Styela clava: one gene and its partners. The protein of the gene in region 4 purifies or fractionates together with the protein of the main gene of each other region. This does not show direct contact. Links are inferred from orthologs where the notes say so. Each region holds a gene or a part of one and is shown on either strand. Other genes may lie near its edges. The genes, in order: interleukin enhancer-binding factor 2 homolog, 5'-3' exoribonuclease 1-like, uncharacterized protein LOC120342158 and regulator of nonsense transcripts 1-like.

Region 1 (8,174 bases), on a different chromosome or scaffold from region 4:
ATGACATTGGAAGGCATAGAGAGTGAGGGATAAATGCTAATTGGAGTGCTTAGTATCAGCAATAGTGTCAGCATCAGCATTTCTCTGATTACAGGGAATTAATAAAAATAGAAGAAAGAACACCAATGTTAAATTATAAATTACAATAGTTTTTCATTCTGCTTTTAAGAAAATTACAAGCAGGACATTCATGAGAAAACATGCAAATGTTAGTGAACCATGCATGTTTATTCATACATGCGCGCAAGAAAGAAGTTATAAACGGAAATAAAGGGTGACCGTACATTTGAACCCATGTACATTTGAACCCATGCGTATATCCACGGGTTCAATCTACATGCGGGTGCTAAAACCCATGGGTTAGGGTTAGTATGGGTTTAACTATCCGTGAAACAAAAAAAATTCCATAGGTGCAATAGCATACAGGTGCAATTGTCATGGGTTCAAATGTACGTGGGTTCAAATGTAATGGAACCGAAATAAAGAGATGACATTGTGAGATAACATGAAGCACATAATTTGAGATGACATGATGCTATAAAGATATCGGGTATAAATGCAAAATGGGAAATCCTACATCATTTACAGTAAGGTTCAAAATGTGAACACAAAAATTGGGATATCCAACCAATAAAAAATTATTACATTTTGAGAAATTAATTTATAATATTTTATAATAATGAAAGCATATAACACCAGTATATCATATTGATTCGAAATGTTGTCACACAATTACATGTGTTTCCATGCATAGTTTGGCATATTAAAACATGAACTTAACCAAAGGACTTAGTAAATGCTAGGACATTATCTGGGGGAAGACATATTCATATTTTCACTGCAAGCTTTCAAGATTACACACTGAAAACTATTGCTACAGAAAGTAATCAGGAAGTTCATTATAGAATATATATAACAGCATATGCACCCACCCACATAAATAACAAGTTTATCTTATAACAAGAACAAAATAACACAGTATGGAGTAGTAGCAGAGAAATTTAGCAGAGTTATTTTAGGATTGCAGACAATGCATTAGTACAAAGTGGTTATGATTCATGAATGAAAATCACATCTTATTGATTGACTTCAAAACAAACAAGGACTAGACAAAGTATATAATATCGTGTACACAAATGCTACAGTCCCCATAAATAGTGTTTAATAATTGGCAAAAAATACTGAAAGCAAATTAAAACATAATTCTGTATCTTGGAAAAATGTAATCTCAAACAAATACAATTTAGTATGTTGCACGTTATTGGAAGAAAAAAATAAATATTTGGAATTTGTGTACACAAGTTGAAGTCAGTGACATTAATTTGAACAGTAGCACAAATAGAGCTATTAGGTTATTAAACGACGCTTCCGTAGTATGTGCACTGAGATGGCGTAAAACCTGATAACCCTAACCTAGTACACATACTATGTTCAGGCTGTGTGCCATCTTGGTGCACTTGCTGGGACGGGATGCACACACGGGAGCACCTATTAAACATATAAAGGTATTCAATCTCAGCGATTGTGTGATCTCAGTGATTTTAGGTAGGGTTAGGAACTGACTTTTATGAGAATGTCTTCAAGACACGAAAATGGAAATCACAAAAGTAAGTGAGATTGCATACTAGTGGCAAGTCGAAATGATAAAATATTTGTGGAAGTAAAGGATCAGACCAGGAGAATGCACTCTTTCAAATGTTTGTGTAAATAAAATGATAACTATAGGGCTGACTATGTGCTATTAGGTGAAATCTATGAAAAAGTTGATCTGTCATAAAAATGTTTAGATTAGCTGGATGGATAACCTTGGATGCAACAATTGGAATACAGTTTGCATAAAAAACAGTAGCAATAAATAAACTATAAAACAAGATTAACAATGAGAGTGATTTTTATGATTGATCCAAGTTACATTAACAAAAATAGGAAAATTATTTTAATAGAAGCAATTATGGCAAATAAACAACTCTTACTAACATATGGATTAGCAAACATACACTAAAGTTTAATGTTTTATATGCCTTTTACAAATAACAAGTTTAGGTCTGATTTCTCATTTAACATTTGCCTTATAAGCTAAAATGCTGAATAAATATTAAATATTACTAGATTAGAATGGTTCCTTTATGAAATTTGAACATAATCATATTCAAAGAACTAGTGAAATACTACACGAAGCTATTGTGTTAGAAAGTATCTTCAATACATTTTTGTACCAGGGTAAAGTTACTATAACAAAATAGGAACCTCTATCAGCTGAACGATTATTATCTCTTTTTAATGAATTGTCCGAAGCAATGATCAGCAATGATACCAAATCTGAACTGAAACGTAAGTTTCAGCACTTCAAATTCATAAACATTCTCAAGTTTCAGAATATTTGCAGATTGAACCAATACACAGTGGAGTATGTGAGCCGGTCATCAACTTCAAAACACAGTTTTGAAGTACAGAGATAGTTTTGGAGATAAAACTATATTAAGTCCCATGTCACAATTCATTTGTGGGCATGTAGTGGACATATGGATCGTTTTGTTATTATGTTGTTGTTCTTTGACACATATTGAAAAACCGCTTTTCTTGTTGATTACTGGACGAATTGCTTTGAAATTTTCAATGGTTTAAGATTGATTTGCCGGAAGGCTATTACTTTCATATATTTCCAATATTTCTGAGAGCTGCATGGAATTCATTTCTTTTGTGCTATGACCTCATCAAAAATTGCCACCATGTGGCGGTTCATTGTGCGAGCGAGTCACGAGGTCAGCGAACATTGGTGCTTCTAGTGTTTAGCGAACCGTCAAAGGTAAGCTTGTCTACTGCTTCGCTCAGGCTGCGTGTCCATATATTTGAGCATCGCTCTCTTGTTGAAAGTGCAAACTATAAAGTTCTTGATCCCCTTTCTGGCACAAATAGACTCACTTCAGTCATTGCAGAAATATCCCTAAAGACTAGATAACCTTAATCTTCATATCTGAAATTATATCAAAATACTTGACAGAGTTTCAAGTAGTCATTATAGACTTAATGTCATTTACGATCAAATTTTATAATGGAATTGGAAGTTCGGGCTTTTAGTGACTTTTACTACAGTTAATTAACATGATATGTGTCTCGCTCGGATTAACGATAGGATCTATCTAGGTACATATCTATCCCAGGAGAGAGATAATGGACCAGATGGTGGAGGAAGCTGTAACCGACCAGCGGTTATGTGAACCACCCAACTGCGACGAGGAGTCCAGTAATCCTCTCGCACATAACCATGGGGTGACGAGCGTATTCCTAACGATCTCCACATTTAAACCTGCGAACCTACACAGACTGACATAGTGTAAGTAATAAGAGGTGCGATGCCAAGCTTATTCCGCTTACAGGCTTAGCACGAAGAGCCACACCACTGCTAATTTGAAGTTAGACAATTCCTGAATTCAGCAATTAAATATACCGGTATCAAATAGTTAGAATGCATATTAACATTTTGCTTAGGTCTGCGGAGTTCACTCAAACAGTCAAATGTCTTTAGCAGTTTCACTTTTTAGTTTATCGCTTGCTCCACACAATGCTGCAATGTTACTGGTAGGCTACCAGTCCCAATTTGACATACCGTGTTCGTGCCTACATCTTGCCACACAATAATTCTACCGCGAAGGCATACCGGTAGTCCGATGATACGGTACCGGTAGTCTACCGTTACCATAGTAATTAAAAGTCCAAGTCTGGTAACTCTGGCATATGCAGATACATTCAGGCTACATCATGCTAAACTTAAGAACCTTAAAATGTTCGTACGGTACCGGTATACGGTACGGTAACACTGACACCATGCCCTTCACTTTCTCAAACGTCGCCATCCCTAATCTGCCAACACAATTCGACCGCATTTTGCCATCCCTGATCTGCCACTACGCTTCGACCGCATTTTGCCATCCCTAATCTGCCACCACGCTTCGACCGCATTTTGCCATCCCTAATCTGCCACCATTCGACCGCATTTTGCCATCCCTAATCTGCCACGCTTCGACCGCATTTCGCCATCCCCAATATGACTTTTCGACCCTATTTTGCCATCCCTAATCTGCCACCTTTCGACCGTATTTTGCCATCCCTATTCTGCCATCCCCAATATGACTTTTATGCTACCACCACTATAGGGACAACTAGTGTCACCTCTTTTTTTTACTAAACTAATGCGACAGGTCAAAGGTTATGACTGTCGATACGTTACCATCACGCGTGATCAACTTCTGCATTGAGTTGCCACATTTGAAAAATATCACGAAACGTTTTCTATGTAAAACCTTGACGTTATGAAATATATATATATACTGCAAAAAATTAGCCGAAGCAATAATTCTATTCGAGAATTATATTAGTGAATGAATAAAAAAAAATTGTTGCCATAATTTCTGTACATTTATTTATTATTTCACTGGATGACTTCCCGTAGTCTCGATTTCTCCTTTGATCCGCGCTTGTTGCTAAAGTTGGTGGCCGCTAATGTAGAATATTACGTGAACTAAAGGCGTAATTAGGCGTCTATTGAAAAATTAATTTCTCACTCTCGAATGAGATGCGCTAGGGCTATTGCTAACAGTACCATAGCCCACCAGAGTACCGATACCTGGATACGGTACGATAGCTTTCAAGAATTCTACCCTATTGAATTTGTGTATAGGTAGTTCACGGTATTCTGGTACCGGTATTCCTGTACCGGTATTTGGTTCCAGAGTCCAATAAATTAGCTACCGTTACCAATGCCGGTCATACAATTTCATGATTTTTTCTCAATCCTATGATTTCAAATCTGAAAAGTCTAGGAATTTAAATATAAAATTTTCTAAATTAACTTGACAAAACATCAAAATGAGAGGTCGAGGAGGACGTGGACGGGGTGGAATGCATCGTGGAACAAACAGAGTGTTTGTGCCTCACATTCCATTTGATTTTGTGATGTGTGAACAAGCTTTCCCAAGAGTGAAGCCAGCACCTGATGACGAAGCTTTTACCCAGGTCAGTACGGCACACTTTACAGATCGAGAGTCATTGTCTCGTTTTAGAGAATTCCATTCTGTTGATGAGCAAACACCCTCTTTTCGGGGACGTCAGGAGATCGTTTTTTATCAATATCGGTAAAAATATATCATATTAGGCGTGGCGGTGTGGCTCAACGGGCTAAGCGTTAGGAATACGCTCGCCACCGCACCTCTAATTACTCTACGTGGGTTCGCAGGTTTGAATCCCATGTAGGGATGGTTATGTGCGAGAGGATTGCTGGACTCCTCGCCGTCGTTGGGTGGTTCACGTAATCGCTGGTCGGTTACGGCTTCCTCCACCACCAAGTCCATGCTCCCGAAAACGAAATAATATAACTTTTCCGATACCCAACTTGGAATGGTAACCGGACGAGAGGCCGTGGTTCGCCATATGGATAAGCCGTCTTATCGGCTTTCCTCTCCCCTGGGATAAATATGTAAATCCTATCCTAATGAGGTTGCACTAATCTAAATGCCCCGATTTAGATTGTTATCGAGACGAGCATGGTGCAATAAGACGCATCTGCCGTCATGCCATATGCTCCTCGTCTCTGAGACTCGTGGACTGTTTGTTTTTTTAAATCAAATAACTCGTATCATTCATCCTCAGTTTTAATATATAAATATTTTTTTATCATAAAATGCTTACTGTTTTTTCTTCGATATGGGGAGTCTAATTCAACATTTTTTTTTACCTAATAATCATAACATTTCTGAATCGTTATTTCCACTATTCTAATTTTTCAATACAGGAATTTCTATTTTGAAAGCCTGTTTTATCAAAAATTTGATATCTATCATATTATTTCAAACAGTAATTATTTTTAACTCACTTTCCTACAGGCTCTAATAAAACGAAACCAAGACTTGAACGTGACTTCGGAAGAGCAAGCGTCAATACTGTCGTTCGTGACTAAAATATGCAATGCAATCGATTCCATCATTGTATCACAGCCTGCTGGGTTTGATATTCAAGTTGATGAATGCAGACAAGTAAGTTTTGTTAAGTTCTTGGGCTACTATCGTGTTTCCACGAAATTGAGACGGGGTATTATTTTAATTTTCTCTCGAAAAATAACAATAGGGCTTATTTGGGGAGATGTATTTTACTTTCATCTATCAGAAACAAAATTATGAAGTAGAGAATTACGAGATTTTCCATCTCTTTTTTAAACAAAATTCTGGACAAGCGTCACTCACTCGGAACTATTATTTTTTTTTGATTTGAGTGACTTTTCTGAATCCCCAACTGAGCTATGTATGCTTTATCAATATTTTAGTCAGGGACAGAGTTGTATTTTTAAACTCATTATATTCAGAGCCAGGGGAGATGCGTCGGACTGGACTTGCTAGCTGTTATAGTCTTATGTTGGCAATTAGAAATTTTGGATAATAATAAATTTTTAAATGTTCAAGTTTCAAATCTTAGTATAGTGTAGATTTCTCCTACTTTCTTTTTGAATAAGTATATTTCTTTTCAGCCATAGCTCATTATTTTATTCTTTCATAGGTCGGAGACTTCAAGAAAGGAACAATGACAAAAGGCAACAACTTAGCTGAAGTTGTCATTATTCTGAAAACTTTACCAACGAAAGAGATTGTCAAACAACTAGCAGAAAAGGTTAACAATTTTCTTATTATGAAAGAACTGTTTCCACTCTGAACAAAACATTGTGAAAGTTGGCACTATTATGTTAAAAGCTATTTTGAATATCATTTTGATGAGGATTATACAACATTTTTGTAGGTGGGCCATATAACTTCAGACATCTAGCTGTGTTAAAGTTTTTCTCATACCAAATCGTTTTATGCACCTCCGTTTTAAACAAACTTCACTGTTACACATGAATTTACTGATTCTAAAGTCCTTTTCTTTCTGGTCAGACATTACATTCCAAATTTATTAACTAGATTACCTTTATTATTCTAGATTTTAACTTGTGATGCAACCAACCTAATAGATCGGAAATAAATAGTTTGGAATTGGGACCAAAATATACAACTTTTATGTAGATTGAATATCTTTATATTAATAGATCTTTCTCTGTAGTGCAATGGTTACCACGTTCGCTTTACACATGGAAGATCCCCGGTTCGAGCTCAGGCGGCAAACAAGCAATCTTCTTATATTGCTTTATATTTCAAGACTATTCTAACTAAGAAACAGTTTGTCATGTAATATTATTTCTCTGTGACATGGGCGAGGCCACGGTTTGCCATATATTAGGCGCTTTTGTTGTCCTACCTCGTTTAGGTTAAACACAAAAATTTGGAATATCAGATTTATTTATTCAAAACGTTGACTGGTATCCAGTTGAGAGACGGGGCTTCATCATTTTAGTAGAGTCATCTTACTGGTTTTCCCCTCTCTTTTTCTCTAAATAAAAATGGAAATCTTATCACAGAATAATAAAATTTTGCATGTTTCTGAATATAACCATGACATTCGTAAAATACTGAATGTTGTGCAATGAACATGCACATAAATCAACTTTGCTAATTTAGGAAACTCTTGTCAAGTGTTACAAGCGTTTTAAAGGCACGGCAATACAATTACTCAAAAAGTTTATAGGGTGTCCGTAAAGTTCTAAAATTTATAAAATTGCAAACGGAATTTATCGATGCTATACATTGTTTTGGCCCTCACAGATGTATTGAATAAAGTAAAAATACCTAAACAATTACTGATTAAAAGACAACAAACCTGGTTGAGATATATTGAGACCTGTTTTCATAGCAAAATACAAAGGGACTTTATGGACACCCTGTATTTCATAGTAGTTTTGATTTTAGTCATACGAAATGTAACAAAATAAAATTTGTGAAAATGTGATATTAGACTTTTGAACCACTCTCCACTGATAGAGGAGTTGCATGTTTTCTTGCAAAAGATCCTAAGTCTTCAACTAAATGTGAGAAGCATACTGGAAAGTTGAAACTACTTAATGGTTTTATATCACTGCGGCCTGCTGGCCGAATGTGACCCGCACAGAAAAATTATGCAGCCCGTGGAGAAGTGCTAAATTTCAATTATGAGGTGTGGCCTGTGATACGAGTTTTCAATTTTATTTAATCTGCTAAAAGTAATTCCAATCCCTTTGCGTTGCATAGCCTATACTTGAGTCCAACTTAATATCC
Region 2 (8,262 bases), on a different chromosome or scaffold from region 4:
CCACTCAATAATCTGTTTTTTAAATGTAGCGGTAGAGAATTTTAGCCTAGTCCATCACAGCTATTTCTACACTAAATTTCGATTACTGCAATTAAACTAAAACTCCTGAGACTGTAATAATACAAAATGATTATTGTATTGAAAGATTTGATTCATACTTCTGTACCTAAATTTTCCAAACACAACTAAAAACTAACAAATAGAATTAAAAGATGCGAAAAACGGGGCAACGTTTACAACCACGCCTTGATGCGAAAAGGCCTATTGTTACGTCACTTTTTGCATGTTGCTGGTTGGCCAATGTTCCGAAGTAAATAAGGACAGTAAGGGAGTAGATACTCGGGGAAACATCCATTAGCCAATTTTTCTGAGACGATCGTAAAATAGAAAATATATTTTTGACATAAATAGTCCCAATGACCAGCTTACATGCAGTGTAAAAAAAACTTAATTGAATACCACAGTCTGACAGTACCGGTACCATGCTACCGGTACCGGTATGTGGTTCTTGAGAGCATAAAGTTGTTTGCTTTTTGCATGTACCACATGCACTTCTAGTTGGCCTGGCAGTGGCGCAATAAAGACCTCCAAAGTCGTCCAAAACGCGTAGACGATCACCCATAATCTAGCAAGCTATTTCTCTTGTTTTCTCGTCGCGACCAAAGTGATCCCGATATGAGAGAGACCACTGGCGTTAGTGAGTTCGTTATCGACGGCGCAGATGCTGTTTTGGGCGATCTTAGTTATAATTTGACAAGCTTTATAACGTGATTGTGACGTCGTAATGACGTAATTTTTGGATGACATAGTCAGGTGATGGTTAGGAATACGGTAACATATGCAAAATTCGTTACGCTACGACCACCGGAAGTACTTGTGGTACTAAACTATACTAGACTCCGTATGCCGGCTTGCAGGTCTGTTGTAGTGCTGAATGTATCTAGGGTTGCCAACCGTCCTTTATTTCAAAGGACAATCCTTTAATTACTGAATTAAGCTTTTCGGTCCTTGTCCTTTTTAGCATTTAGAAAAGATGCTGATTGTCCTTTATTCTTTCCAACGTCGTTTTGCCCGGAGGAGTAAAAATCGCCTCCGTTTATGTATTTGCAAGCTTTGAATTATTCTTTTTAATTTCGCTTTAGTCCGGCTCAAATAGCCAAATAAATAACAATTTTATTAACATTGTTTGGGCCAATGTTAAATACACATTAAATGAAAAACACATGAAGATTGCTTCAATATATCTTTTTAGCTTGTATATAATTCTTATTTCATTGTTTATATTGTACTTTCCTGCAAGTTACAAAATAAATGATGACGATAATTTATGTCCTTTATTGAAACTTTTCATAGTTGGCAACCCTAAATGTATCCCTTTTTTATGAGATCAGGAGATTGACTCAACCCAGCGAACTTTTTTGAAGTTACCACCTTCAGACATTGTGACACTGTTAGTGTTTTTCCCATTGTACTGTATTATTTAGGAGGCGCATGTTCACAAGCACTTACGTGGTAATTCGTAAAGGTTAGCACTTCATCAGTTACTTTTTTTCTGTTACTTTGCATATGTCTTAATTAACTGTTATGAAACTTTGAGGAAATTCAGAAATTATCTGTTAGCTCTCAATGAACCCTTATTTTTGCAAACAACTCCACTGTCAGACTATACTCCTATAAGCTTTGTCAGCTTTTATAACAGTGAAATCAATCAATCATTTTGGTTCTCTGACATAAACAATACAAAAAGTAAACAGACAAACAAAATGCAGAGATACTTTGGAGACGGGCATAACTTGAAAAAAGTTAAAAAGTGTACAATGTACATGCCCGCCCAGCAAAAAAGAATAGAACAACCACAGAAAAACGTGATTTACAATCGGGCAGTACTTTAAAAGCAAGTTAACAAAAACAGCAAATTGAAGTGAATAATTGAATGTAATAAACTTCTACCTTTTAAATTGAAATGTGCGACGTGTATGGGCTATGGGTGCCATGCCAAGTGACACTACAGGACAATTCCCAGAAATTTTGCACGTTGTTAGATGCAATATATTTTTACATTTTCAGCTACATGTTTTTGTTTCATTGTCCAATCAATTGCTTCATTGAATACTGGAATATGGAAAAAATTGCACAAAAGTTACACACGAGACTTACTAAAAAATACAGTAAAATATAGCGTGACACTAGAGGACGGAAAATCCACCATGGATTAACGTTACATTGTGTTGTGCTGTAAATTTTTGTGATGGCACGGCAGGAGCCCATAATATTTTCTGGTGCAGTAGCTGAAGGACCCCCCTATGTGTTGCTCAAGTTACTTAATGTAACACTGTAAATCTATGCCAATAATGTTCATCTTGTATGTGACACTGCAGGACGTGACATTACAAGACATTTTTCCACTTTGGAACAGCGGCCTCTATCATCTCTTAAAATCCTGGTAATAAATCGTTAAATGGGTGAGAAAAAGCCCTAGAGCACTGCAATCATTTAAACTTTGTTAACTTAAATCCAGTGCGTCTATTTCATATGAAATAACTGTATCACACAAACACTTTGTGTCAGGAATCATCACGAAATATGTCAATTATACCAGAATTTCTACATTTCAGGCCATTATTTTTATAAACTATCAAAAACCTGGGTGAAATTTCAACTTTTTCGGTGAAATGGATGCAGTCCATGAATTTCTAATGTTTTTTGATATAAAAAAATTCAAAAAAATTACTTTCACTAAACTTTAGAAAAATTTGATGAAATTCAACTTTTGCTTGGAATGGCCCGTATGTGTAACACAACAGTGCTTTTCCTACGAAAAACATGGAACAAAAAACACTTCCTGATGCAAAATGGTGGTGCTGTAGGCCTAGGTCAATTTCATTGCAAAAACAACACAGTGACAAAAAATTGTTCCTAAAAAAACAAGCTTGGTAAATAGATTGAATGTTCCATAGCAGTCTATGCACAAGTCATGGATTGGGGAATCGGGTTCTTTTGTCGTTTTCGATTAGTTCAATTTAAAATCATTGTATCCGTTCCAATGCATCCAACGTCAATATCAAATTTCCACGAACGACCACTACTCCAAAAGGTGCAGTGGTCCCATCTTTTCTGCGCTCCCTTCCATCATCAACAACCAGTTTCATAAAAGGATCGAAACCTCGCAATATACCCGTAACAGATCGTCCACCATTTAACTTTAAATCCAATCTTTTATTCATAAATCATGGCATTGTTCTGATATTGTTTGCTTGCAGAAATATTTTTCCATTTCTATTTGCTTCACAAAATTATTGTTAAATAATGAAATAAACAGTACACTATATTTTAGTATTTTGGCATATTCCAAGTATTCACTCTTACAATAGTCTGATAGTGGTACCGCCTTTATATCCAGATATATTATACAAGTAGATCTGGAGAATGTATTTAATCATTCCTTACTTGTTTAGTTAGCAAAATATTTTTTTAGTAATTAGAAAATAGATAATCATGGAAGAAGCATTAAACAAGTTCGAAACTATGGTTGGATCGGCAGAGAAGAAATTGGACAATATTGAAAAGAAAATTGATGCTGAGTTTTCTAAACATTTAAATTGTGAAGATGATGATGACGATGATGCCGAGAATAAATTATCTCTTTTGAAAAAATTAGAAGAAGTCAAAGCAGAATATTCAACCTTGTGTAAAGAAGCGGCAGAAGTGAGCACAGCGCAAAGACAGATGGCTGAAGCATTTCAACAAGAACTTTTAGCTCAAGTTAAGCAGTTACAAATGCTCCAAGATCGTGGTTTTACTGGATCTGATAGAAGATTAGATGGTGACGCAGAAGCTGCTGTAAATACTTTTGTTCAAAAATCTGATGGACAAGATAGTAGTTTAATGCAAAGTGCAAATGAAACACGATGATACAGGTTTTGTTAACAGCAAACTATAATATAGCTTTGATAATAATGCACTTGGATCATTAAAATGTATCTCATTGTCACAAGACTGTCAAAGTAAAATGGAACGAAGATCTGGTGATATGCCTTGTACTGTTGTATGATAAGAGTTACATAGTACACTGCCAATAGAATAAAAAGTTCACTGAAGTCCTAAAATCCCTATGTAATTCGTGGATAAACTTCTATTTTACATGACATACGGTAAATGGATATTATCCACAAAAATGTACAATACAGTATATTTTATCAGTTATATGATAAAGTTAATATTGCATATTATGACAGAGAAACAATAACTACTGAACGTTTTCGAAGTGAATTCAAAATATTGTCAAAAGTAATTGATACGTTCTATGTTGGAACAATTTGTGAGATATATTTAGTTTTAAACTTAACTTCTATTATTGAATTATTGATAGTTTTCATGTAGTGGACTATTACGGTAATTGCTTCTCGCATATACTTTGGAGATCCAAACTCCATCTATACACTGTACAGACATCTGTACCCCAATACAGGAATTCCAAGAATAGTAAGATGGCCTTCTAAGCTACACTTTTGGGTATTATCAAATAATTTGAAATATTAATAATAGTCAATATATAGAAGTCTAATTTCATCAAGGTTTCAAGTTTGTGGTTGTTTGGAAATCTTACCTTTCATGATTTTTTCTTTTTGGCGTAGTAGCTATATACAAAGCTTTTATGAAGTGCTTTAACACTTCACACTTGATGTCAATTATCAACATTTACTGTAGTCTGTGTTATGTTCATGGACATCATTTTTGTCATAGGCACTATTGTGTTCACAGAGATATGTGAGATATGGGTGAGGCTCAATTCAATTGTTATCTGTGTTTTGTAACTGACAGTCGACAAAAATTTGAAGGTCATATTAAATTTCTTGAAACGCTGAACTTTTAGTCATGGTTATTTCAACATTCAATAAATGCCGGTTTTGTGTGTTTTTTTAACTACTTTCACTTATTTTTCATGATATTCATGAAGCGTTGGGTTTTACATTTTGTAATCAAACTAGGCTTTGATGACGAGAACATGGGTGTTTCCAAGTTTTATCGATGGATCAGTGTTGGATGTTATTTTTGTCATAGGCGCTATTGTGTTCACAGAGATATGTGAGATATGGGTGAGGCTCAATTCAATTGTTATCTGTGTTTTGTAACTGATAGTCGACAAAAATTTGAAGGTCATATTAAATTTCTTGAAACGCTAAACTTTTAGTCATGGTTATTTCAACATTCAATAAATGCCGGTTTTGTGTGTTTTTTTACCTACTTTTACTTATTTTCATGATATTCATGAAGCGTTAGGTTTTATATTTTGTAATCATATTAGGCTTTGATAACTAGAACATGGGTGTTCCCAAGTTTTATCGATGGATCAGTGAAAGATATCCGTGCCTCAGTGAAGTGGTGAAAGAATATCAGGTTTATTGCTATTAAGTTACTTATTATGATACTATGTTCAAATTTTCAAACTGCTATAGGAATAGCATATTGCCGTTGTCCAATAATATTGTGATGTATTAATATCAAAATCATGGTTTATCTTGTTGTGAATCAGAGAGTGACACAAAATAATATTGTAATAGCGTTTTGAAAAATAGATTTTTGGATTCACGCTGTGTCCTTGGTTAGAAAAATGCTAGCTAGTTGTCTATCTAGATCAGGAGTGTGCAACCTTTAATACAGGAGGGCCAGATACAAATAACTTGGTGAAACTGCGGGCTGCACCTGTATTTGACATAGGCTTTCTAGTAGTTGCAGGCACAAAATTCTTGATTATCTGATCTCATGACATGCGAACTACAAACTAGCTGTTAGTGCACTGTAACGTCATATGCTGGGCGTTGCAGCGCAAAGGGATTGGAATTACTTGCACTCACCAGATTAAACTAAATTAAAACTCGTTTCTCTGACCGCACATCATTCAAAATTGGAACTTCTCTGCGAGCCGCACAAGTTTTCCTTGTGGTCCGCAGGTTGCACACCCCTGATCTAAATCAATAGAATCTATTTGTTTGGATTATCCAATATGTATATTGATTCACTATTTGAATTTATTATTTTAGGTTCCAGAGTTTGACAATCTGTATTTGGATATGAATGGTATCATTCATGTTTGTTCACATCCAAATGATGATGATCCTCATTTTCGAATTACCGAAGAGCAAATCTTTAAAGATATATTTCACTATATAGAGGTACTTGCTGTGCAAATTCTTTACTTCAAAGTTCATTGTTTATTTCAGTCTGTATGATTGCGATGTCTACTATATTTGATATATAGCACATAGTATAATCTTAAAAAAGCGTCTAAAATGAGCAATTAACGTAGGATATGTTGACCAAAAAAGGGTTCTCTCCACTTTTTATAACCGTGTGTTGTTTTAAATAAAAACTCAATATAATTTTCTGTATTTTGACGAAATTTCTTTCTCTAAACTTGACCATATTCGGAAATATTCAAAATTTTCATACATAGACTTTATTCAAAACATATTTTATAGTATGGTGTTTACCAGCAAGCCTGCCATATGGACAGTGCCTTAAACTTCTTGACATTGGCTAGCTTTAAAAATAGAGATTGACAGAAAATGCTTTTGTATTAAAATTTCAATAAAAATCCTTTCAAAATTTCATGTATGTACAGGTTTTATTTCGTATTGTTCGTCCAAGAAAAGTGTTTTTCATGGCAGTCGATGGTGTCGCTCCACGTGCAAAAATGAACCAACAAAGAGGCAGAAGATTTAGGTTGCACAAATTATTCATGTTTACAATGTTTTTTTCTTTATTGCAAGTAATCCATGTAACCGTGTAACATTTGTTCAAGCAGAAGTTGTGTTGTATTACAGTGCTGCCATGTCCAAAACAAATAGAATATTTTTGATTACATTCAAAGCACACAGAGAAAACAATGACCTTTTATATTTGTGTCGTTTTAGATGTGATCAACAATGTAATTTCCGACATAAACTTTCCCCAATTTAGAATGTAGTCGATATTTCATATTCAGAAGTCATTTCTCTGAATGTATTCGAAATAGTAAAATATTCGGTTTTAGCCATCCCTGGCACTAACTCTTCCTGTCTGGTAGTCAGCATGGTCACAAAGAATCTATCTATATCAGTGGTTCGCAACTTTTTTCGATACATTCCTCTTTTTGCCTAGTCTGGCTAGGTTGCACAGTTTGAATAGGCTTTATAGTTTGTTCATAATTATGGATTACAAGGATATTGAATGAATGAACAATACTAGTAAAACTACATCGAATACAAAGTAATATTTTTGTATCTCCTTCCCGAAAACAACAAAAATTTCTCCCTGGAGATGAATTCTTTCTCGGCTGGGAAACACTGGGCGGGCTAAATAGTAGCTGATTTTATCTAATCATACTCTTTATTGGTATAGTGCTGACATGGGCAAACTACAGCCCGCAGGCCAAATCCGTTGGGTAATTTAATCCTGCCTGCCTGATGCTGCCACAACCAAACTAAAACCAAATTTTGATGTTTTAGCTAAAGATGAACTCAAGAAATTTGGTGAAATTTCGATTACATTTAGTTTTGGCACAAGCCCTATTGTTTTCCACATTTGCTTTTGTAACACTGTAAATATTGTTCATAAAATGTAACTTTTTACGTCACACTTAAGTGGCTCGTCAGTGTTGGTGAGCAAATATTTTGCCCCCCGGTCCAAAAACGTTGCCCACCCCTGGTATAGTGTGTTTAGGGAAAATTCAACTTATCAACTCTACAAGTTTCTCTATAAACTGAATGCTATACCTCTTTGACAAATCAGATCAGCCAAAGAAGCAGAAGAAAATATTCAAAAGGCATTGAAAAAGGGTGAAGTCCTACCTGATGCCAAAAGATTTGATTCAAATTGCATTACACCTGGTACTAAATTTATGGTTAAACTTCAAGAGCAACTTGAATATATGGTGAAGAGCAAAGTGACTACAGACCCAGCATGGCAAGGAATCAGGATTTATCTGTCTGGTCATGAGGTGTGTTGAAAATCAGAATTATCATATTTAAATTATGAATAATCTTTGTGGGTGCTCTTTATTGTGAAGGGTTGCCATGGCACGATACACATCTCTGGTTCAAATTCCATGACCACCATCTGATCCGGGGAAAGCTTTCGGTCTTTCCAAAAATAATAGCTCCTCACTAACGTTAGATATCGGTGGATGCTTGCACAGGGCATTTTTCAGAGGGAAACGAGTGAATATCTATGTTTGAAAATGTTACTAGATGTCATGTAGATAGACATTTACATATTCGTTTT
Region 3 (7,496 bases), on a different chromosome or scaffold from region 4:
TCTATATTTGAAGAAATACTTACGTATGGTCCGAGCTGGGCAACTACTCATGTAACGTCGACCAATTGTGCAACGCGACCCGTTGACACCATGAACCACGTATACCATAAACGTCATTTAAATGCGCCATTCCGTTTTATGAATGCTATTTTATTAATTTTCCGCGGCTAATATTTGTCAGTTCGTTTGGAAAACGTTAACACTTACCAATCGAGGTTCCAATTATTTGCGCGATAAGAATCCTGTTCTTCCTGCGCTGCGTATTATAGCAGAGTCGCGCGTGTAGAATATACATTGAATTTGAAGCGCTACAATGTTTTTGCTTTTACAAAAGAAGGGAGGCTTGGAGGAGGCCCAGTCGGGAAGAAGTGATCAAAATACTGCAAATTTAGTTACTTTGAATATATTAAAAAATGAGAGCACTTCTAATCAGCCTATTGTTATATATATTGCATGGGTGGCGTTTTTTTCATTTTAAGCAAGATATATAAAGCACAAACAAAATAACATACCAATTTTTTTTTATTTTTGTTTTTGGGTACTGCTGACACTGTGGTTTACTACTGTTGTGGGCAAAAGAATACGTTTTCTCTCAGTTACCACTAAACTCTGTTTTCCTCTGTCACCTTTCTTTTGACACTCATTTTATGATGAATTGTTATGTTTGACTAATTTTATAACTTGTAGCGTCCGTGAGGTCTAGTGCTATTGTCAAAGAACAGCCAAGTCCGTCAAGTTGGGCTTTAGTAACCTACGTTAAAAAAACGGGATCGCGCGGCGCAAATTGATATATATATATATATATATATATGCGTTTTGTCACTGCTGTCATATGGCCCACGCTTGAAAATAGAGGTGTGTTTCACTAAAATAAAGGTACGAAACGTCTCTCCGGCAGATAAGGAGTTGCTTGACGCGAGTTGACATAACAAATCATTCTCCTTGGCTTCTACTACCTTTTATCTTATTGCTCCGCTCAATTTTCCTTTCACTTATCGCTCGATTATTTCGAAAAAAAACAAAGCGCGACGCTTTGACACGTACCGGTAATTCGCCTTGACGTTTATAGATACAATTTTGAAATTCGGGATTTCAACGAACCTAATTCCCCAATTGCAGTATAACAAAACATATCAACTTGGGTAAACGTGCATGAATTCGAACATCCATGACAATCACTCCTTCTACTTTTTAGTATCCATAAGTGCAGATTTCAGGATTTCACTCCAAAATGTGACGCATAACTAAATTAATGAAACAATCTCAGTTTCGTTCTTGAAGCAGTGTTAATTGGTCGTAGGCAAATGCTTTAAATTTTATTGATAAATCAAGCAGGGTGCCTTCCTTGATTTCTGCTATTAAAAATAACCACTCAAATTTATCGTATATTGTTTCGACCTGAATTGGATTTCAGGACTTGAGTAAACTCGGACTACAACCATTTCAATTGCCTTGTCTACTTTCTTACATATTCTGTTATTTATTCACTACTGCTTTTGCTTCAACAAAGTCCATACAACTTTCTACATCAAATATTAGTATATATGAACTGCCTCAGTGGTCAAAAATGAACGTGCTGTTTGGGGACAATGCCCAGTTTTTGGTTGTTAAATCGAAGTATTTCAACAATCATAGTACAGTGATACATCGTGTTTTGGATTCCGAATCAATAGCCCTGTATTCATTCAATGGAGCCGTCTTCAACGGTATGACATAGGTATTCTTGAACACTAGAGTTCATGAAAACAATCTGAAATTACATTGTTTTTGAAATTATAATGTCCAAAACTGTTGATTTAAATATGTAAATTCATGAATGCAGCGCCTCCACAGGATTATCATTTTTAAGGCGCTTAGCTTAGCAACATTTGGAATGAATATGGCTGGTAGCAGCAGTGCTGGTCATTAAAATTCTCGGAAAACCACCTATGATGCAATAATCTAGTTCTTACTAAGAAGAAGCTAAATAAAATACGAATGAGGCAATAATACACTCACTCATACACTGTATGCCGAAATGAAAAAAAACTGAAAAATGGAAAAAAAAAATTGTTTTGACAGACTTGAACCATCTTAATGCGACCCAATTTTACCGCTTGCGACCTATACTTTGGGAACCGCTGTGATGTGAATTATTAAAGAGTATTTGGCTCTATGCCTCCCTTTTTGTTAAATCCCAATGCTTCTGACAAGAACTGCTATAAGCTCGTTTGTTGCATTCCAAGAACATGGTACCAAATGTTCAATCCGGTGAAATGTTAATCAATATCATGGTAACCATTTTGATTCACGGGAGCCAGAGCTTCGAGAACAAAGAGCCGCATGTGGCTACGGAGTCGCAGGTTGCCGATCGCTGGTTTACAGCGTTGCTTATACTTCCAACCTAACTATATGCAGCGAATGCGCCCTTCTATCGCATAATAATCACATTCGTTTTGCCTATTTTGTGATCTGATAGTGAAGTTCACTCCAGCATTTCACGGATGTCTATAATAGACAATGAAGTGTGAATAAAATTAAAAATTATTTGCTCTGTCGCCGTCATCTAACAGAACTATCAGAAATACTACTTTATTATCCGGTTAACTGTCACGATAATATCAGATAGCAAAATACCTCTCGGGTAACCGGATATTCGTTATCCGGATAATCTGACGTTATGCTGGATCATCAGTGTGGATTTCTCGAATGAAAAAGTAATTACAAATTTTATGCATCGCTATAGATCTCGCTGCTACCATTGTATTTTTTAAACTGTTTTGTTAAAATTTGCAAGACTCACTCATATGCAGACATGAGACAAGAAGTAAATTAAAAATATTCTACTTCTACACTACACCAATCTACTGCCATGAAGAAATCGCTCAAACTGAAAGAACCAAAATGTTTAAAACCCAGTTTCTTAAAAATGTTTGATCGTAAATTAATTAGCCGAATATACTGTGATGCAGTAATATGCCAATAATGGAGAATGATGCCAAAATCTTATAATTGATTTAATTTTAAATAACTTGATTTCAGTAGTCGGAAAAATTAATATAGTTTCATAATGCTATCAATTTATCATGCTATCAAATGCAATAAAATGTTTATAAAGACATTGTAGTTTTGTTCTTCTCTGAACTTTATAGAATAGATTTGCTAGTTGTTCCTACCTGTATTCAATGCTCCATTATTGCAATATTAATTTTTGTACTACAGTAGGTAAAACTAAATTTTGGAAAATTGTATATAGCTCTTTTTTCTTACTTGGCAAGTTCATGATTCACATTCTCATTGATATTTATTTTGCCTTTTTTGTATCAGTCAAAATTATCTTCAGTGGTAGGTTGACCTTGCAGTCTTTGCCCGCCAATTATATTTTGTGCTTTTTTTCTTTGCAGTGTATAATTTCAATTGTTATGTATTCGGAAAGCAAGAGATCGAAAGACTGTTGGAAAACGAAGTTGTACGCTAATGCAAAGTGCAAACTGTCACAGTATTTTTCATACGTGAAAAATACTAACAAGGAAATGAACATGACCAAAACCAACGGCCGGCAAACAACTTGCCCAATGTTACCCAAGTTCATGTACGACATTTGTGCCATATTTGGGAAACGCGAAACAATGGAGTCTTATGGAAAATTTTTGTCGTGTTGTTGTACAGAACCGAATAAGTCAGCTATTAAAAGGGTTAGAATGAAGCCGAAGGGTGGACATAAACATTAAGCTTGATGCTACCTAAATATATGAAGCAATTAGAAATAAATAAAAAAGCTATACGTTAAATTTGGCCACAAACACAGAAACGCAAATGCAATAAAATGTCCAACAACCGGAACGCGGTTTCGTTGCGTTTCGACTACAGCTCCCCACTGAATGTAAATGTATTATAAATGTAATTTGGCAAACATAAAAGAATATCATCATGTTCGACTAAGATTCTACTTCAAAACGCGACCTTCAAAACATTTCTACCTAAAATATAAGTGAAAATAATTGGTATGTTTCAATAATTGTGTGCGAACTTTTCATAGGGCGCCTTGTTGGATGGCCGAGTATAATACGCACAAGATGGAATCCATTGTCTGAGCGTTGCCTCGCTTGTAATATATATACGCTTTGACCAAAACCAGCAACAACAACATAAAAAACAAAACGAATCATATCTACATTGGTGTCCAATAGATTATTATCTCTCCGTGTAAATTTCTCTAATTATCATAGTAAAATTTTGCCGAATTGGCTCATAGAGACTCATAGCACATCCGCGTCGTTTCAGGCTTTCAGCCACCAACAATCGTAAAGTTGTCGTTGTGTAGAAGCCTTTGGCACTGTTTCGACTTGAAGTCGATTTTGGGGTGTTCAATATAACATTGCTTACACAGATACAGGTATGTCACGCAGAAGGCGTCGTGAAGAAGATGTCAACGATTCGGAGGGCGAAGGTTTGGATGAAAAACCAGATGAGAAATCAATGAACGGCTCGGTAAGTACCGGTACCGTACCGATGGACCAGTGTGATTTGCAACAGCGGTACCGGCTCCTGGGCTAAGTGAATTCGTCAATATAATAAAAACTTAACTCTCGTCAGTTAAATACCTTTTAGTTTGTGGTCATGCGATGAAAAGAATAGTAAAGTCTGTAAGTAGTCTACTCAAACAGGAAAACAGTACCGGTATCAATGCGGATGATATTCGATGCTTCAGTTTTAAATTCTTGTAGTGAATGCAGGAATGGTATAATGAATGTCATATTTTGTAGCTATTTTAGTAAATCTGTATTTTTTACACTGGTTGAACTGAACTAAGTGAAACCTCAAAACAGTTGTGTTTTATTCCAGTACTGTATTCCGGGAATGATTTATTAATATAGATTGGTGATTTCTTTGGATTTATGATTTTCGTTGAATATCTTTTAACCATATTTTAGGAATCTGATATTGATGACGATGACCTCGACGTATCGGAATATGAAAGCGTAGATGAAGAGGTAGCTCATTATATTTAACAGTTATAATTGCATTAATCAACACACTTCACACATCAGCACATACCTATTTAAAGACATCAATTATAAGCATGAATACAAACTTCTACGTTGCGGGTCAGCCTGGCGGTGTGGTCCTTCCATGTTGCCACTATATGGCACACCGTTAAATATAAAGAAAGCTAATTTATTGTCAATTAAAATCAAAAATTTTTTAGAAAAAATTTATTCCACAGAAAAAATATTTTACTGTAGCATTCAAGAGTTTTAATTGAAAAAACAACAAATGGGAACAAATTTCATACACACAGATCACGAGATCTCACGCATCTGCTTTGGTGCCAGACGCCATATCTCGAGAGTATTTGTTTTATGTTTTATATATCTGAATATTGGAACATTCTTCGAGAACATGTGCTATAACAGGGCTTTTCAACTATTTTTATCGAAGGTCCGCAAACAAAACTTCAAAATTATTTGGGTCCGGTCTTCCAGAAATGATATTTCGGCATCCTTAAACGAGCACTTCCTCGACTGACTAATGATTAGTAGCAAATTAAAATTGTTCATTATGGTGTTATAGTTCTTTTCGTATATATTCAAAACTGTGAAAGTCATTTTATAATAGGAAATTCAAAAAGTGGGGCTAATGATCCAAAATAAATAATTAAGTGCGGTCCAAATCCAATACTCGAAAGGTCCGGATTCGGACCGCGGTCCGCCAGTTGAGTAGCCCTGTGCTATAACATGTATTAGAGAATCTATTATGTCATATTTTCCAAATATGAATTGGTTAGATGATTTCCAATCATTTTTTCCATCTAATTTTAGATATATTTTTCTGTAAATCATGAATGCCAAAGCGTTTCCAGACCGGGGCATGATTTTATAGTTTTCGGGAATTTTACTTTGTATTTTTATGTAGTAAGCCTTTTACTAACTTGTTTAGCTATTGTATTACATTCATATGGACAAATTATATGTAGGCCTACATGGAATTGTATAAAAGCCACAGAGGCTTGCGAGTATCAATAGAGAAGAACCTTATAAAACATAACAACAATTGTCGATTGGTAACAGAGTTTTTCTGTGTTTTGAGGGAAGAATGAGGAGTTTTATTAAAAATAGGCAAAGAGAGGAGTGTATCGAAAAAACTTCTCAACCACTCGATCTGTCTATTTGAATCTTAGACTGTTTAGAACAGGGGTTCCCAACCTGGGGTACTTGGATGGCAGTCGTGTTTTTGTGTTTTTTTTTTTTCAATGTCCTCTAACTGAGAAAAACTAAGTAACTACCAAAGGTAAATGTTTGCCAATTGAAACTCTGCATAGATTTTCCTGTATCTTGCGTTGTTGTGATTGTGACGCAACAATGTGAAATGCACGGCTTTGCAGCCAAACTGTGAAATCTCAGAAGACAATGTGCTGCGATCATTGCAGAAAGTGATATGCATATCGAAATTTGAAGAGGTTACAAGAATTCATTAGTTAGGCGTAGGACAAGGGTAATAACATTAACGCGAACAGTTAATTTAGTCACAGCAGTTGGTCAATAAATTGTCGTAGCAGCAAATTGTCAGACAATATATCACAACTTTGTTTGGTTTCTGATTACTGAGGGTTCGCGTTGATTGTTTCGTGACTCGGGGGGTAAAAAGGTTGAGAACTCCTGGTTTGGAAGAACCATGCGTCTTTTCTATTTTCGCTTTACTCGACCCGGGCTTTCTCTCTCGGTTTATATTAATATTGTTTTTTTTCCTATTTAGGCTCGGCATTCAATAGATGAAGAATTTGAAGAAGACGACCCTGGAGGAGAACAACCAGAAAATGATAACGAAAAAGTAAAGGAAGATCAAGGCAAAGAACATGAAAACATAGAAATAAAACGGGAAAATGAAGAAGTTTCTGAAACTATAAGAGAGAGTGGTGATGGAAAAGTACGTGTGGTTGTTTCTCAAACATTTAATCTATCTTTGGTTTGGGTTCAGAAATCAATAGCTTTGAATTTATTTTGACTAATACTAAACAGATGGTACTAGGACATTGTGTATTAAACTGCATGTCCTTTCATTGAACTGTAGGTTCTTTCTCCGGTACTCCCATAGTGTGTGTACCAGGATAGGATTAGGACATAATTTTATTCAGATTTTCCTTATTTCAGTTCTATTATAAGTTAGGGGACTGTCTGTGTTAGCCAAATGAATATACCAAACGCCCATAGGTTTCAATCCCTTTACACAACTTGAGGTAAAAAAGGCGAACAAAATTAGTTACCTCCATATTGGTACACGCACTTCTGGAGCGCCCTTTCTCCTTGTCTACCTCCTGCTTCGAATTCTTGTGTCCTTTGCCACAAGGATGCCCAAACAATATTCTATTAAAGTGATGAATAACGGATTTTTCCCACAAAATAGCCAGTATATTGTGAGCTTTCGTTAGATCATAGTATATATTAGTTTCATTATCTACCAGTGTATTAATCATTTATTTATCGTGTAATTTTTTATCTCAAATAACAGGAGCAATC
Region 4 (7,771 bases):
CAACGAAAGCTTTTATACACACAATATCGCATCTAAATTTTATATGAGTGATCAAATTTATGATACGTTTTAGATTGTTCAGTGGTCAAGATTTTTATTATTTGTCAAATAAAAAAATTGTAAGCAATCGCTATCATTATCTCTGTTATCATTGAAATTGAATATTTCTTACATCAAAGGTCGCCTAACTAGTATTTCTTATTCATTTTTATTTATTTGTTAACTTGTCTCAGGTTCCAAGGTGAAATTGTTCATTAAATACCATAAGATTGATTCTGCATTATTTTAGCCTACCGCATGACAAAAATATTGAATCTGAGGGACCTCTTCACTGTGCGAACGAAATGGTTGACTCTCACAGTCGCATATATTCTATTGCGAATATCAGAATGCCTTAATCCACTTTTTTACAACCTGTCATCCCGGTAAGTTTTTTCTATGCTTAAAAAATAAAGCCATTCTGTAGAGTTCGAACGGACCAGATCAAGCCTAACCTGAAATTCAAAATTTTATCGGGGTAGAACATTATGATAGACTATCTAATTCTTAAAAGTGGTTATTTCCTGCATTCCTGGTATCACCTGACAAAAAGTTGCAGATCGCAAACAGTGTTTATATTTCTTACCATCCAATTTCGGCGGTTATGAATTAGCAGAATGAAATTGAAAACTAAATTTCTTATTCATACAGCCCACTGAGAAAAAGAACTAAACGTTTTCTGAAAATACAGAAAAACTACGAATCGTCAGACAGCATCAACGTATCAGAAACAAAAGAAGAAAATGTCAGAAAAACAAGCGTTACCGTTGTGTAAATTAAACACCACCGGATATAAGCTGGGTGTCAAATATGAAATGTACACGGGAGTCACAACCAACTCATATAACCCAGATATGGCGATAAGAATGTAGCCCTTTGATGAGATAGAATTGAATGTGAATGTATTATTCATTTTATAGCAATGTGTTGTTTATATGTCTTGTTCGTGTGTATATAATATATCTGCTTCGTCGAATTGACCCGAGTGTATATTCTTATGACTTATGAAAACACATCAGAAACTCTTAATTTCAGTGCAGGAATGAACGTACTAAAATATGATCAATACCGTAGCCAGCCAAATTCTTATTGTGGAAAAGGGGGCAAACTTTTGTCTTGTACAATGACGTAATACGAACAATGCTTACTCGTGTCTTTTGCTCAGAACAAGGCTAGATAAAGCAGCCACTGATATCTAACGATGTTTTGACTCTGCACAACCTTACTTCGCTGTCGAAGGTATCCAAGCTAGGTAAGCGTGAGTTTCATCTATCGCAGTTGGTTCATTTGGAGAATGAAATATTGATGGTGAGGAAACGTCGGGTTTTTGGCCAATCGTTCGAGATTAGAACAAACTGGTGTTGAAAAATACGTGGAATTGATGTCTCGGTGTAAATGCCACAAAATTGCGGTTCCCAAAGTAGAAGTCGCGAGCAGTAAAAATGGGTCGCATTACGGGGATTCAATCTGTCAAAACAAACTTTCTCTTTTCATTTTACAATGTATATATGTATGTATGTTTGTTTGCCTCAAAAATGTAACAATATTTGCATAATAATTAAACGGTATAACAGAGACGGGATACATGTTCAAGACCTTACTGGCCTAAGACACAGATGTGCGACATAGGATAGGATTTACATATTTATCCCGGGAGAGAGGAAAGTCGATAAGACGACTTAATCATAGTCCGAACCACGGTCTCTCGTCCGGTTACCATTTCAGGTCGGGTATGGGATTGGTTAGCCAGTTATTTGTTTTCGGAAGCATGGACTTGATGGCGGAGGAGGCGTAACGGACGAGCGGTTACGTGAACCACCCTACGGCGGCGAGGAGTCCAGCAATTCTCTCGCACATAATCATCCCCGCATGGGATTCGGACCTGCAAACCCACGCAAGGTAATCAGAGATGCGGTGGCAAGCGTATTCCTAACGCTTAGCACGATGCGCCACATTGCCGAGCCCATGTACCCCAACAAGTTCTTTCCATTTCATCATTATCGCAACATGTGGCTCCGAGCAGGTTTGAAGTTGATGGAAAAATGGCTTCTACAATACTGAAGGTTGCCGAGTGCCGACCCGTAGTTTATGCCAATAATTATTCATACCCTTCACCGGTTTTAGTCATTGACGTGTACGGCTTCAGCTAATTCTTAAGATTGTGATATTCCAAGAACTCCACAAGTCCATGCATCTGAAAACAAAAAATAACTGATTCCATAAACCACATGGACTGTTAACCGGACGAGATTCCATGATTCGCCATATGATTAAACCGTCTTATCGGCTTTCCTCTCCCCCAGGATAAATATGTAAATCTTATCCATTCATGGACTTCCATTTGTGACATAATTTTTTTCCCAGATGGTACATTTTGCGTCGTTTATACCTAACATTTAGAGACTGTGACCAGTAACTAAACTTAGGCTAGAAAGACATTGCAAATAATATTAATAAAGAAGAAGAAGACATTCGCATTCTAATAAAATGATGATGACATAATTGCGCTTTTCCATAATTCGCGATAACCCCCATAAAACCAGAAACGCCAGAAAAACTCATAACCCGCGGGCAATAAAACCACGGCTTGCTTACCTCGCCCTCGGCACGTGCTCTGTTATCATCAATCTATATTTCATTTATATAATTGTTGAATATGTAGTGATGTAATAAAAATGCATTGTGTCGTCATTGAGGCTATGCTAAATTTGAATTTTTCGAGTTATAAACAATTTCGAGTCTCAATCTCAAGTACGTTTCGTTCTTGCTCGAGAATGGTGAAGTCATTCAGCGTATGTTTATGGAAGTGTACTTGCGCAACATTCTAAACCTCGTTTACACATTGCGTTTACACCATATGATCATGCAGTTGGATACTCTTCCATTAGGTGGTGTTTTTTAGTTGGACATTCTGCTGATATTTGCCAGAAGGTTACGGAACTTCCCCCAGTTTGTCAGATTTAACGTTATCTGTTAAACTGCGACCGGTGCCTATGCGAGCAGAAACCCCTACTGAATTAGGTAGTACCGGTACCGATACAGAATTAGCCTACGCGATGTTTTTAGTAGCCTATCACTTGCGACCTGGGCATTGCAGAAGATAACAGACAATTCTGTTCAGATACCGTAACTTAGAGACAAATGCTGAAAGGCCGTTCAGATTTAGGATTGATCCACGGTCAGGCGGTGCTCCTGTCCTGTTTGTGTTCGAAAACACAGATAAACATTACCGGTATATTAGTGGTATTAGGCACAGTACTGTATGGGAGGAAATTGCTTGTTTATCAGTTTATAGACTATGTTTTGACATACAGCAGTACAGACACTTCTGCACTTAGTACAGTAAACGAATCTATAAATTGATCAGCTGTCATCATCTTTAATAAGCCAATTAATATTGAAATAATTAAACAAAAGTGCCAAAAAGATGCACACAATACCGGTACCAGTATCCTTCTCTTGCTGTCTTGATATGTAGACTATGTATGTTTATTGGGTCTTATTACTTACGGTACTGAATAGAGCGCAGAAGAGATGGGGAAACATTTTCTTTCATTGTTTATTAGCTTTCGTGAAATTTTAAACAATTTGATGGGAAGCAGTAGCGGTATACAGTAGTACTGTAGTAGGGAATGATCACGAGTTTATATCATTAATCTTCAACATCTTTAAATAGCCTCACATGACGCACCCTAACCTACTGCGTTCAGGTTGTGCGCTAGCTTGGTGCACATGAAAGAAAAATGTTTCCCTCTCTTCTGCGCTGTTTTTCACGCACTTTCCCTCTCTTCTGCGCTGTTTCGCGCTCTATTCAGTAAGTACGGTAGTGAGACCGATGTTTATTTGCCTCAAAAATGTAACAATATCTGCATGATAACTAAACAGTAACAGATAATTAAACAGAAACAAAATCTCAATAAATATCTATCACAAACAGCGAAGTTTCAGAATAGTCTATTTCCTTGAAGAAGTTGCCTAAAACTCAGAAAGTAAAGATAAAAGACACAGTTCTCCCATTACAGCATTACAGCATTACAAAATGTCCCTATATTTAATTATTTGGAATCCGGTACTTTATTTCAATAAAAAATAATACTCTATTAATAGTCTCTGAAATGAGGGCGTCTGGCACTGCGGCAGATCACGGCATGTATCTATAATAATTTAACATGCTTCAGCCGCCAAAATTCTACTGTAAAATTTTTTTCCTCCATTAAATCTGATTTTTTGTTTCGAGGAATCGAATGGTAACGTTTTTAAATCACGCTTCCTTCCATTTTATTGCGCGGTGTCTGTTTGCCAATAGGGAGGCCCAGACTTCCTCATAAAGAAGAAGTCTGCACTCACTTCATTAGTACAGTAGTATAATTGATGTCTGGATGTAGAGTCTATTCTTGGAATAGGAGAACTGTGTCGTACTATTACTCGAACATATTACTCACAAAGCTACATGTTTGACTATCGATGGGTCTAAATTAGACCAGGTTTATTACTGGGAAGAACTAGACTGTTATTCTTTCCCATTCTGGTTATTTAAACGTTGCCATAAATTAGTTCAGTAAAAATTTGAATTTGAATCAGATATATACAGATAAAACTGAAATTGTGAAATAGCGAGGACAGTTTCTGATTGTAATGAGCAGCGTTGATGCATATGGGCCAAGTTCCCAAACTCTGACATTTTTGGACACAGAAGATGGCGATTTGACTGTTGGAGGAGATACCCAGGTGAGAGACGCTTGTTTGAAATTATTTTAAATATATCAAAACAACCGGAATCAACTGCACTTCACCTCTCAGGACACAGTACAACTTGAAAATTATTTTGTAATTGGTTACGGTCTGAATCAAGTGGATGGGGTGCAACTTATAACTCTGATACAGTTATAGGCATAAATATATAATTATAGACATATTTATTCAAGTTTTAATAAAACTAATACTTTGCTACTGTGAGTTGCTCTTATCAATTCATTGATTTAATCATGATTTAACTGTGTTTTTAAATACAGAATTGCTTAAAGTAAAAATTGCTACAGTATCACAAAGTAATATTCAAAAAAATTCTGTTATTCAGGCAAGTGAATATGAGTTCACAGACTTCACAATTCCATCCCAAACCCAGACGCAAACTCAGACACAGCAAAGTCAAGCAAGCCAACTTGATATTGCAGAGAACAGTCAGAGTCAGGTAACTCTTTATTCCATTATAAGTCATATGCTAAAAGTATTTTAACATGGTAATAAGTTGGGAGAATTATAACCAGAAATGACTGTGTTAATCTTGAAACAATGATGAAGTTTGCCTACGACTTCATACAAGAATAATTTTTCATTCAATTCTGCTCTTTTGTTATAATTTGTGATTTTGTTTAGCATTGGCTTGACAATGTGAGTGATCTCGTTTATATTTCAATTCGACAGAGTCATATGCAAACGATATGTTTGACAACTGCGTACTCGTGTTTTATAATCATCAATGAGCAGTGAACATTATACCAATACTATCAGGACTGCTTCTGGTAGAAGAACTCGAAATCAATTTCTCAATCTTTTTTTTGTGATTTCTCTCAACTACGAATTATCTAGATCAGGGTTGTCAAACCCGCAGACCAAATATTATCAAGTTTTATCTCCATTAAGGTTGGTGATGTAGATGGAGTCAATCACAATGAAGAAGTGGGGGATGGTGAAGATATTGGTGGATTACAAGAACATATTCATGTTGCCACCCAGGGGGTTGCTGATCTGAGATTTGAGGAAGAAGACGAAGAAGATACTTATTATACTAAGGATCTTCCCGAACATGCTTGCAGGTGAATTTTTTATTAACAAGCACATGATTAAAAAATAATTGAATGCTCGGAGCTTTTATTATTATTTTATCTGTTTTTGTTTCCTGATTTCAAACAGTGGGGATAATTTTATGAAAAAATTTTGTTTGTCAAGCATAGGCCTCATAGCGCCTAGTAATATATTTAATAAAATGATAGAAGTTTATGTTACTTACACATATTTCTTAGCAGCAATATCTACTAAATTTTGTGCCTGTGCCTCCTATGTGAAGAGAAACGATCACCCTGAATTAATCATAAAATACTGCATTTTGACATGAGTTAAATTCAGTTCATTAGTTCAATTCTTGCCAAATAATGATTTGATTATGCATATAAGCTTTGTTATTATTATGTAGGGTCAGCCTGCAGTACTGTTTAAATTTCATCATACAGACTGTTCGGTACAGACAGATTTTTAAAATTCATGTAATTAGCTTAATACTCCTACTCAGTGAAATAAGGTGAAAGAGGTTGCTCAAACACATCTGGGGCTAATATGATTGACAAATCATTAAGCTTTCTACCTAGATGCTGCTTATTAAACCCGCTTTCTCGTATTTTCGCATCTGTTCAAATGAGAAATATGAAAATGAAAAATAAGTTGTGGCCATCCTTGAGGTGCTATGAGAAAAATTCCAGGCAATTTTCGAGACTGCTGTATAAAAAGAAGCCTTTCATATTTATTAATATCATCATTTATTATTAAACTCACCATCACTATTTTCCTGAATATATATTCATATAAGAATTAGGTATATATCAAAAGGTTTGTCGCATTAACAACTGTAATTTTTAGGTATTGTGGAATTCATGATCCTAACTGTGTTGTGATGTGTAATACAACAAAGAAATGGTTTTGCAATGGCCGTGGAAATACTTCAGGAAGGTAACATGATATTTTATAAAATTATTTTTTCTTCGAATCATTGATTTGCAAGGGTTAATTACTAATTTCTGGTTACCCTCAGCCGTTTTTTTTTTAAATTTCAGTATTTGCTTAATGCTCCAGTTCGATCGTGATTTAACATACCATATCATCCAGGTTTAATAATAGACACTTGAGCAATACTTCAAAATCACCATATTTGATATTTATATTTTGTAAGAAATAAAATTTACTTTGTTTTGTCCATCTCAATTTTTATTTGTACAATTTATTTTACAGTTGTCCTTACTACTAGAAAAATGTCATACACAATAATTGCAATCAATTAGTGATTTTGAATGAGTTATTATTTCAGATTCACAATTGTTATGTGCAATCTCTGTTATGGAGTATAGATTTATCAGCTTATTATATTGATTTTATGCTTACTTTTTGCATTAATAATCTGTTGAAAAGTAGATTAGTTATTCTAATCAAATATGATATGAACAAGCAATCAATTTTTTTACTCTGATATTGTTTGTATTTGTTTTCTCTGAAGCGAGTATTAAGTGATAAATTGATTCAGATATTTCGAGTCCATTTGAAATTTTTGGTGTGCTATGTTGCAAAATATTATGAGTTTGTCATCTTACCCTTTACTGTCTTTAATAAATTGATCAAATAATTAAGGTTAAATTCAGGTATATTATTTTGGCTGTATAAGGCAGTGCCAGGGAATAAACTATCCCTGTGTTCAAAGGATATTAATGGTTTGAACAAAATCCAAATCAAAGATATTTTATGTAGCCTACTTCAATACAAGGATTTATATTATTGAAATCCATTTTTTGTACTAAAATTTTAAATCAAAGGTATTTTATATACTTCCAATACAAAGATTTATAATATTGAAATCCATCACCTATATTTGCTTTGTTTACAGTCATATTGTGAATCATCTGGTGAGAGCCAAATGCAAGGAGGTCACTCTTCATCGTGATGGTCAGCTCGGTGATTCTGTGTTGGA

Evidence for each region.
Region 1: the proteins of regulator of nonsense transcripts 1-like (region 4) and interleukin enhancer-binding factor 2 homolog purify together in Homo sapiens (affinity purification with mass spectrometry; 3 studies listed by BioGRID and IntAct, counting the BioPlex papers as one, with this or other methods). This does not show direct contact. The link is inferred for Styela clava from reciprocal best matches to the Homo sapiens genes UPF1 and ILF2.
Region 2: the proteins of regulator of nonsense transcripts 1-like (region 4) and 5'-3' exoribonuclease 1-like purify together in Homo sapiens (affinity purification with western blotting; 4 studies listed by BioGRID and IntAct, with this or other methods). This does not show direct contact. The link is inferred for Styela clava from reciprocal best matches to the Homo sapiens genes UPF1 and XRN1.
Region 3: the proteins of regulator of nonsense transcripts 1-like (region 4) and uncharacterized protein LOC120342158 purify together in Homo sapiens (co-immunoprecipitation; 5 studies listed by BioGRID and IntAct, with this or other methods). This does not show direct contact. The link is inferred for Styela clava from reciprocal best matches to the Homo sapiens genes UPF1 and CASC3.

The regions. Positions count from the first base shown.
Region 1 is NC_135255.1:20,622,831-20,631,004, reverse strand, and holds the start of interleukin enhancer-binding factor 2 homolog, read left to right. Parts: upstream 1-4,774; 5' UTR 4,775-4,866; coding exon 4,867-5,013; intron 5,014-5,879; coding exon 5,880-6,029; intron 6,030-6,546; coding exon 6,547-6,657; intron 6,658-8,174. UniProt on the Homo sapiens protein: Chromatin-interacting protein that forms a stable heterodimer with interleukin enhancer-binding factor 3/ILF3 and plays a role in several biological processes including transcription, innate immunity or cell growth.
Region 2 is NC_135252.1:5,380,777-5,389,038, forward strand, and holds the start of 5'-3' exoribonuclease 1-like, read left to right. Parts: upstream 1-5,102; 5' UTR 5,103-5,322; coding exon 5,323-5,397; intron 5,398-6,041; coding exon 6,042-6,173; intron 6,174-6,622; coding exon 6,623-6,723; intron 6,724-7,770; coding exon 7,771-7,978; intron 7,979-8,262. Other genes in the region: uncharacterized protein LOC144420883, read left to right, coding at 3,496-3,912. UniProt on the Homo sapiens protein: Major 5'-3' exoribonuclease involved in mRNA decay. Required for the 5'-3'-processing of the G4 tetraplex-containing DNA and RNA substrates. The kinetic of hydrolysis is faster for G4 RNA tetraplex than for G4 DNA tetraplex and monomeric RNA tetraplex.
Region 3 is NC_135252.1:6,798,867-6,806,362, forward strand, and holds the start of uncharacterized protein LOC120342158, read left to right. Parts: upstream 1-4,277; 5' UTR 4,278-4,377; coding exon 4,378-4,470; intron 4,471-4,913; coding exon 4,914-4,973; intron 4,974-6,735; coding exon 6,736-6,906; intron 6,907-7,488; coding exon 7,489-7,496. UniProt on the Homo sapiens protein: Required for pre-mRNA splicing as component of the spliceosome. Core component of the splicing-dependent multiprotein exon junction complex (EJC) deposited at splice junctions on mRNAs.
Region 4 is NC_135257.1:5,899,252-5,907,022, reverse strand, and holds the start of regulator of nonsense transcripts 1-like, read left to right. Parts: upstream 1-4,599; 5' UTR 4,600-4,674; coding exon 4,675-4,767; intron 4,768-5,116; coding exon 5,117-5,230; intron 5,231-5,682; coding exon 5,683-5,855; intron 5,856-6,672; coding exon 6,673-6,762; intron 6,763-7,687; coding exon 7,688-7,771. Other genes in the region: growth hormone secretagogue receptor type 1-like, read left to right, coding at 290-425, 731-911. UniProt on the Homo sapiens protein: RNA-dependent helicase required for nonsense-mediated decay (NMD) of aberrant mRNAs containing premature stop codons and modulates the expression level of normal mRNAs.